Linked DNA regions of Arabidopsis thaliana. The protein of the gene in region 2 interacts with the protein of the main gene of each other region in a biochemical or structural test. Each region holds a gene or a part of one and is shown on either strand. Other genes may lie near its edges.

The links.
Region 1: the proteins of DREB1A (region 2) and ABF2 form a complex in vitro, tested with the Arabidopsis thaliana proteins (one study listed by BioGRID).

What each region holds. Positions count from the first base shown.
Region 1 is NC_003070.9:17,164,339-17,169,471, forward strand, and holds ABF2 (abscisic acid responsive elements-binding factor 2), read right to left. Parts: upstream 3,552-5,133; 5' UTR 3,435-3,551; intron 3,404-3,434; exon of another isoform or gene 3,144-3,403; 5' UTR 3,123-3,143; coding exon 2,004-3,122; coding exon of another isoform or gene 1,851-2,003; exon of another isoform or gene 1,732-1,850; coding exon of another isoform or gene 1,687-1,731; exon of another isoform or gene 1,445-1,686; coding exon 1,373-1,444; intron 1,293-1,372; coding exon 1,263-1,292; intron 1,157-1,262; coding exon 1,082-1,156; 3' UTR 820-1,081; downstream 1-819. UniProt on the Arabidopsis thaliana protein: Involved in ABA and stress responses and acts as a positive component of glucose signal transduction. Functions as a transcriptional activator in the ABA-inducible expression of rd29B.
Region 2 is NC_003075.7:13,017,308-13,021,430, forward strand, and holds DREB1A (dehydration response element B1A), read right to left. Parts: upstream 2,094-4,123; 5' UTR 1,697-2,093; coding exon 1,046-1,696; 3' UTR 703-1,045; downstream 1-702. UniProt on the Arabidopsis thaliana protein: Transcriptional activator that binds specifically to the DNA sequence 5'-[AG]CCGAC-3'. Binding to the C-repeat/DRE element mediates cold-inducible transcription. CBF/DREB1 factors play a key role in freezing tolerance and cold acclimation.

The DNA.
Region 1 (5,133 bases), on a different chromosome or scaffold from region 2:
CAAACCTATGCAACAAAAAGAAAAACAAAAAATCTTGAAACACTATAAGAAGAAGACAATAAAATAAGGAAATTTGTTCACTAACATTGACAAAACCCAGAAATTTCCACAGAGAAGTCCAAATTTTTGAAAAAAAAGATGAAGAAAAAACCAATTTTACTGCTCGTTTCTAACAAATTCAAAAGCATTAGTAACACAATGCTATATCGAAATGTTCCAAATTTCAAACATACATCACAATAAAACCCATTACAGACGTTAGTCATGAATAATTAACCTTTTATTTTGTCCTCGGAAAACATGGAAAGATAGAGTTGGGTAAGACGAAATACCTAAAGATAGTATTTGATTTTACACCGGAGACGAAACGAATCAACGAAAAACTAGGGTTTTGCAGGTGAAATTAGGGAGAATTTGAGCGACGAAGTGGGAGAGAATGAGAGTGAACACTTTCATTTTTAGTAACTAAAAAATCAAACCGAATAAGTCGGTTTTGGTTCGATTCGGTCATCGGTTAAATTGGTTCGGTTATGTATTTATTCTCCATGCAAATGATTAATCCCGTTTGGTTTGGTTATCGAATTTAGAGGAATTTTACTTTGATACATACATAAATTTCAGTACAAATGTTTACTTTGTGTAACTGTCGGTTCAGTGAACCACATCAAACCGACTCGGTTACCTCATCCGTCCGAAATGACCAAGGTTCGGTTCGGTTTGGGTTATAGTCGCTTGCCTAGAAGGCTAGAATGCTGTGTTGGCACAGGTCATAGTTTTGGCACTCAGAGAAACCAAACAACACTTCAATTCTTCAAAATTGGTAACTCCAAGATCAAGAAAGTACATTTTGAGGTTTAATAGCGACAACGACAAACAACAACGAGAAACACACACAAAATTCTTGGTCTAAATAAAGCAAAAGAGATTCTGATGATCCTGTGTATGTAAAAAACATAACATATATGGAGAGAGCTTACAATATAAACGATGAAAGCTCTTCTCTATTAAGTCTAATTCAACTAAAACACCTAAGTGGGATGTCATTTATCTACAGAAACTAAGTATGATGGCATTGATTGATTCACCAAGGTCCCGACTCTGTCCTCCTCAGCTTTTTCTTTGGACCTCCTTGCAGAAGATTCCTCATCTCCGTCTCCTGTTTTATACATAGCACGGAAACAAACAACCAAGTTTACAAGTTCAGCTATGAAATGTGCAGTTTAGAGATTCCAGTGTTGTTGCATTGGCATAAGAATTATTACCTGATTCTTTTGCATTTCCATGATCCTTGCCTGTAAAACATGAGGCGTACAATGAGAAATGAATGTAACGTATGAGCAACTGTGATGCTGAGACATGGTTTTGTGATTACCTGCTTTCGTTGTAACTCGTCATTCTCTTCCTTTAACTTTGCAACTTCAGCTTCAAGCTCCACGGTGTAAGCCTATGAACCAAAACAAGCACGACTGAGAAGCTTATGAGATAAAGACTAGAGTGCCATTCAAAACATTTAGACCCTCAAATGTAGAACTCAACAGTTTGGTCATAGTACATGTCAGATGTAACAGGTTTTTGGGAGCACCAATTACCCATTACCTTGCCCCAAAAGAAAAACCATGTCGCCACTACTCAGGTTTTGACGATGAACCCTCACTACTCATTTAAACTCTGAGCCACCTCATGACATTAGCAAATTACATTCCAGTATATTGTTTGGTCTGCCGTGAATATCTGCGGATGGGCAACATGTATATACACCAAAACCAGAAGGTTCATATTTGTTTGCGAGATTCATTCAGCCACAAGTACTGATTTCAAGTCCCAATAATTCTGTTTAGTTGTTTACTACACTACTTCACACAAGACACTTTACGCTTTGAATTCAACGCTTCATTGTGGTTAAAGAACTTAACTACAAGATAAGCTAACCAATTTACTTTACATATCTTTTGGCTTATAACACAATCAAGAGTACATAGATAGATGGTGATGAAGAGATTAACCTGTTTCCTGGCCCGGGACCTTGCAGCTGATTCTCGGTTCTTTATCATTCTCCTTTGCCTTCTCTCTACAACTTTCTCCACAGTGCCACTCTTTCTACCTCTCACACCACCATTAAACATGTAAGGAGACGGAGAGAGTGATGAAGAATCACCATTACTCTTCCCTATCCCTTCTGATGACAATGGCGTAACAGGCGACACAGCACCAACGCCTAAAGCTCCAGGAATTGCAGCAGAAGCACCTTGGACAAAGCCCACATTGTTCGTTAAAGACTGATCTCCAAGTCCCACAAGACCACCACCTCTTATCCCAGGACTATTAAGCTGACCCATTTGTGTTCCATAACCAAAACCAGGCTGCTTAGGCATGATTGGCTGTTGCTGTTGCGATTGCTGGTATGTTGTTCTAGCTCCATTCACATTCAGAGGCAAACTAGAACCTTGAACCTGCAAAGAATTTGCAGTCTCTGCACCAAGATTTCCCATTACACCAGCGGCAACAACTCGTGGAGAAGGCTGCTGAAACTCGACAGAGAAACCTGTGTTGGCATCATTACCAAAGTAACCGCCTTTATTGTTCTCAGCAATCTGAGCTCTTGCAGCAACCTGAGCTTCCTCTCTCACAACACCAGCACGAACCAAAAACTCCTCCAAAGTTACTTCACCTAATGTTTGCTGCCTCTGACTCTGACTCTGACTCTGAGCCTGAGCCACCTGAGACAAGTTACTTCCCCCTACTCCACTACTTCCAACTTTGGATAGATCTTTCCAAACTTGATCAACCGTCTTCTGACTAAGCGTTCGAGGCAGAGTCAACGAGCCTTGCCTCTGCAGCTGCAAACCCTCTTGACCTCCACCAAGAACTGGAACCACACCACTAGCCATGGCTTGTGTTTCTTCAGCACTCCATATATTCTTTAACAACTCATCCATGTTCATTGACCCAAAATCTTTCCCTACACTGCTCTGAAACTCATCAAACGTCAACGAGTATATCGAACCTTGTCTAGTCAACCCTCCACCTCCACCACCATCTCCTGGTGGCTCATTCCCCAAATTCATACTACCATCCATTTTTCTACAAAATCTGCTTCCACCTAATAACTGGATCTGAACCATGAATACAAAAAAAAATCCAAACTTTAGTTTAAAAATCCAAACTTTAGTATCAGAACCCTAATCTATAAATAAAAATCAAGAAATCTGCAAAACCCAATTCAAAAACACTAACAGATTTCAAAACTTTAATAGTCAAATGGATAAAAACAGATTAAACCAACAGGAGAATATGAATGCGTTTATGACAAGTATTAGGCACAATTAGTAATTTTATCCAAAAATTAAGTGTGGACATAAATCGAAAGAATTAAAAGAAGATGAACAAAAACCACAGTTTCTTCTATACACACAAAGAGAAGAAAAATCTATTACCTTTTTGCTAAATTCGTGTGCTTTGTAATTTTCCCAAAAAATTTCAAAATGTTTGGTTCTTCGTTTGGGTGATTAGGTAGTTTGTCTGGTGAGCCAAGTGTCTCTCTGGCTCCTAACAATCTTGAATAAATACTACTTTTGCTAATTATTTTAATAAAATGGTATATACTCTGTATCTTTGTATTTTGCGTCACTTTCCCTCTTCGTTTTTATTTTACTAATTTCACTTACTAATTGTTTTCCTTTTCAGGATTTATGTTGTTTTAATTTACTTTAGGTTCCTAAAATAAGTTGTTTTCACTTTGGAATTCCGTCCAAAAATCATTGTATCTACACAATAAATTAAAATGTTAAAACGTCTTTAAAATTGTAAAATTAAGATTGGATTATGTTTATGAAAATAAAGTATTATATACTAGAAAAGAAATGAAAATATTGTATTTTACATATATATATATATATATTAATATTATATCTGGCGAATTTGGATATGTTGACTTGGAAATTATGATATCTAGATCCAAATGTTGCTTGGACAAATCCAAATTGTTACTACCCAGATTTCCAAGTAATATCTAAATATTTAAATATTTTGAGAGAAACCAAATGATTTTTGGGTATGTAAACTTTAAAATTGTATTTAAATCAATTTGGACGGATTCAAATTTTTACTATTGATCTCAACACTTTGAATATCGGAAATTTTGGAAAGAATAGTGACAAATTCTTTATATCGGATTCGAGATAATAATTTCACTCTAACAATTGTGCTAATTAACCAATTAATATTTATTTGTTTAGGTACACATGGTTGCGGTGGTTGGAGAACAAAATGGGTTTGTAGATTAGACAACTTCTTATTTATCATTCACAAAATTATAATTTGTAGTGGTATATACAAAACAAAAAGAAAAAAAAACTCTATATACAAAATAATTCATATAGTTCTTACATAAAAAATTGGTATTATATATGGGTATAGTCCTAAAACTTCTCAGAAAGTTTACATATCAAAATGGATTAAAGTTTACCAATCAAAATGTTCGTTAAAAAAGAAAATATTGGTATAATTCCAAATTTTAATCCGATTTATCCACAATATCCATTCAAAACCTTAATTCTTTTTAAAAAAATCAGCTAATATTTTATTTCACCGGTGAATTGAAAACGCTTCTCCATCCTGAAGTGACAAAGGTCCAATAATCAATCACCTGAGTTTGTTATTTATGATCGGTCCACTTACTTCTTTAGTCCTCTGATTACAAAAGTTTTAAAAAAGAAAAAAGTAGTTGTAACGAAATAACGTGTCGCTCCATTACTGTCACAACCAACAAAAACAAAAACACGAACCAACCTCGATGAGACAGACACATAATGAAACCAAATCTCAGCCGTTGATTGTCGATGTAACGTGGACGAACACTATTATTTGCTTTCACATCGACTTTGTGTTTTGTGGGGGAAGATGTCAGAAACCAAAGAGTCTTCTTACTTTTTTTCCATTGGTCCACGTCTCTAGTTTTTAGTTGGGCTCACCTTCACATTATCAAACCCATCTTATTATTTTTTACGTTTAAAAATTAAATACAAGGACAATAATACTCTCAATTCACTAATTATAGTAGTGTTTTTTTTTTTTCTGCTAAAGTACATCATTGACTCTAGCATATAGTTTAATAAGTTTTGAATTTGCTTGGAA
Region 2 (4,123 bases):
ACCTTCTTTTTGGTCTGAAAACTCGCCGGACGCCACCGTGAGTTGAGTTTTCCGGCAAAGTAGAAAGGTAAACCTTTTTTACAGAACTTATTTGTTTTGTTTTCCTTACAACATACAAATTAAAATCATAAATGTTCACCGTCCCTTCGCTACTTGTCTAATAATAATCTGGATTATCAGATTTGCCAGAACAACAAAAATAATAATAATTACGAAGTAAACAATTTTATTAATTCTAAAGTCCAAATTAAATTGATTGTGGTTGATCTATTAACCCCGCTTATATATATTTTTTTTGTTTTTTCGCTTATATATTTCTTAAACTCGACTCATATATTTTTTGAGAAAAAAATACTCCACCGAATAATAATACAGGAGCATAAAATTACTAAATAAAAACTGGTTTAAGCCAAGGATTAGACCGATATAGTAGCAAGTTATACATCACTTTCAAATTCCAATAATAGCTATAAAATATCTCAAATCTCAACAACAGCAATAAAATATCTTCACAACGAACGTTTCTCTCTCTCGCTACCTCTCGCTATCAATTGTCGTCTCACGGTATTGACATATTCGGAGAAATAATACGACAAGGAATGGTGCGCGAAAGAAAGTGGTTTAGGACCTTAAGGTACAGAAAACGACAAACAAGATATTAGTATAAAAAAAGAAAGTAAAACTTGAAAATGACATGACATTGGTTACAAGAGGAGCCACGTAGAGGGCCAATGAAGGGGAAGCTACGGACAGTGCTCTCTTGTGGGACCCATATTTCTGTTTATGGTGTACGGTCTATTATTGGAGGTTTTGCTGAATCGGTTGTTTCGGTTTTATACTCTAATTTAAACAACATTTTTTTGTTACTGCTCTAAAAATACTTGCATTTAAGAATAGCCCACACTTATACTGAAACTGAATCAATTTAATTTACACTCGTTTCTCAGTTTTACAAACATAATGAAGATTCCATTCTAAAAAAGGATCTAAAAATAATAATAAAATAAAAAGTATCGTACTAAAAATGGAAATAATAATCTGAGTTTTAATAACTCCATAACGATACGTCGTCATCATCGCCGTCGACTTCATGATTATGATTCCACTGTACGGACGGAAGCGGCAAAAGCATCCCTTCTGCCATATTAGCCAACAAACTCGGCATCTCAAACATCGCCTCATCGTGCATATAAAACGCATTTTCGCTCTGTTCCGCCGTGTAAATAGCCTCCACCAACGTCTCCTCCATGTCGAAGCCATGATCCGTCGTCGCATCACACATCTCATCCTGAAACGCCAACGCAGCTTCAGCCGCCGCCTTTTGGATGTCCTTAGCGCAAGTTGATTCCGGGATTCGGAGTCTCCAAGCCGAGTCAGCGAAATTGAGACAGGCTGATCGGCCACGAAGGGCTAAAGCGGCAACGTCGTGAGCTCGAGCTGCCATCTCAGCGGTTTGAAATGTTCCGAGCCAAATCCTTGTTTTCTTGTTTGGTTCTCTAACCTCACAAACCCACTTACCGGAGTTTCTCCGACGAACTCCTCTGTATATTGGGTGACGAGTCTCACGAAACTTCTTACGACCCGCCGGTTTCTTGGGGCAGCTGCTCGCAAGCGTCGGAATATAATCACCGCCTGAGGAAACCGAAGACTCGTAATCGGAGCCAAACATTTCAGAAAAAGCAGAAAATGAGTTCATTGATCAGAAGAGTACTCTGTTTCAAGAAACTGGATAAGGTAACTAAAAGATCTCTGTCTTTTTTGTTGGTATGGTTTGCTGAAATAATAGTTTCTCTCTCTTTCTGTTCTAGTTCAGGTGGATTTAATGTTTGTAGATAAATAAAAGTTGGAGTGAGAGCATGCTGTTTTATAATGGCGGAAGATATTTTAGAGGCAAAAGAAAAGGCGAAGACGGAGTTTGTGTCTCTGGTAATGCCACGTAAACTATACACAGCGAAGCAATTGTAAAATGAGTAGTTTAAGGATTCACTCATTAAGATCTGCCATGTGTCCAGAGAAGACTTTTTTTGACTTATTCACTCGTTATTATTATACCTTTATGAGTTTTATAAACTCTTTGCGTATGAATGTGTGGCTGTTAAGGATTTAGTGTACTAGGTGTAGGGTAACCGTTATTCATTATTATATTCCTGAATAAAGAAATTGTCGTTAATTGTTCACCCGTGTATTAGACATAAAGATTGTGAGAGGATATTTAAAGATGCTCTTCTTGTGTAATTTCTCCCATTCTTATAGCACATCCTTCTAGAATATGAATTGGGAGAGTAGATATTTGTGCAACAAAGTATAAAAAAGTATAGAACATAATAATAGTCGTCCGTATATAAGCACGTAAGTCACCAAGTAGTTTTGGCGGAAAAACTTTTGAATTTAATTTGGGTGAATGATCAAATGTAACATTTTAGTGCTTTTTACGGTTGAATTAATAAACAGTTTGAAAAGTTATGAAATATGGTATTTTGGAAAATTTAACTAGAAGGGTAACAACATATTGTAACTTTAGGAAAACCCTAAATAGACTGCTAATTAAAATTCTCAATCATCATTATACATATAAAATAAATAATCAAATATTATTGGTTTAGAGTTATAAAAAATTGTTAATCACAAAAATGATGATTGAGAATTTAACAAAAAGTTGTTTTTTTAATATGTATAAAAAATTTAGAATTTAGATCAATTAGAAGCATGCAGTTGTAATTGTAGATCGGATCGCGAAACGAGTCTGAAACCTAATTTTGATCACATAAAAGTAGTTAATTATATTTAATATTTTCTACCATCATGCATTAACAAATGGTGGGGTGTGTTAGATTTATGAGACAAAATAGTAAAAGGTTTGAGTATATGACAAAAAGAAAATGTAATAAAAGAACATATTACATTAAGTTGATCACAATCTCAACGCCCTCTCTCTCACTCGAAACTCTTTTCTCTCTTTTCTCTCCAGCCAGCGCACTTCCTTCTCACTCAAAGAAGTTTCTCTTCTTCATGTATTCTCTCATTTCCTTCAACCACCACGTCCTTAGTCATATGATTCTCTATTCTTTAGCTACCTCTTCCCCACCTTCCCTTGACGAAAATTCTTGCATAATTCATAATTAGAAGAATTTCCTCCCAAGGTACTCGTGCTAACCCTTTTGATCACATACTTTCTTTTGATCACATACGTATTTATTTGACCCATTTGAATGTTCTACATCCATCATGATTTTTTTTGTTTTACGGTATGCAATCTAAAATCATGTGTTCTCCATCCATTCGCTACTGATTTAATCATTATCTGAGTTTTTCAACAAAAAGAACACAATTTATAAACATAGACAACCATGATTAGTTTCGGAAGTCAAAATAAAAAGCATGTTAATCAATTGTCTTTTATCTCGTATCCCCAATTTTACTTCTCAAAGTACTAAAATAGTCTAAAAACAATCATACGTACGTAATAAGAAAATAATTTACTTCCTGCTGTGTTTAAACAAAACTTCTATGAGATGTAAAAAAAGAAAAAGAGTCTACGATGGATGATCAAGCGTAATTGCTTTGTTACGTCTAAAAGGTGTTTAACAAAACTATAGCGCAGAAAATAATCAGTTTAATTAACTAAACAAAAACATGTTAGTGGATTAAGCCAAGAATTAGTCCGATAGAACTATAAAATCTACAAAATATCTCAAATCTCAATAATACGTATATAATATCTCAATAATACCTATATAATATCTCAACTCCAATCAGAAAGCTAAATAAAATATCAGCATAAGTTATATTCGCTTCCAAAAAAAGTCTGCCTCGTTACCTACCTCTCACACTCAAGTCTCTCACGTTATTTGAGATATTTAGGAGAAGCAAGACGACAACGAGAAGAAAAAAGAGTGGGTATGGTCAAGAAAAAGACAAATTATGATTTTAGTGGAAAATAGAAAGTAAAGAGTGAAGTGACGCGACACGTGGTACGAGACTCCACAGCGAGCCACGTAAGGGGGGACAAAGAAGAGAAGGTATGGACAATGGTTTCCGCGGTCGAGCCACGCTTTCAGAATTCTGATTGGCACTGGGTTATCTTGTGGAACCCATCTGAAAGATATTTTTGGTTGTCGTACGG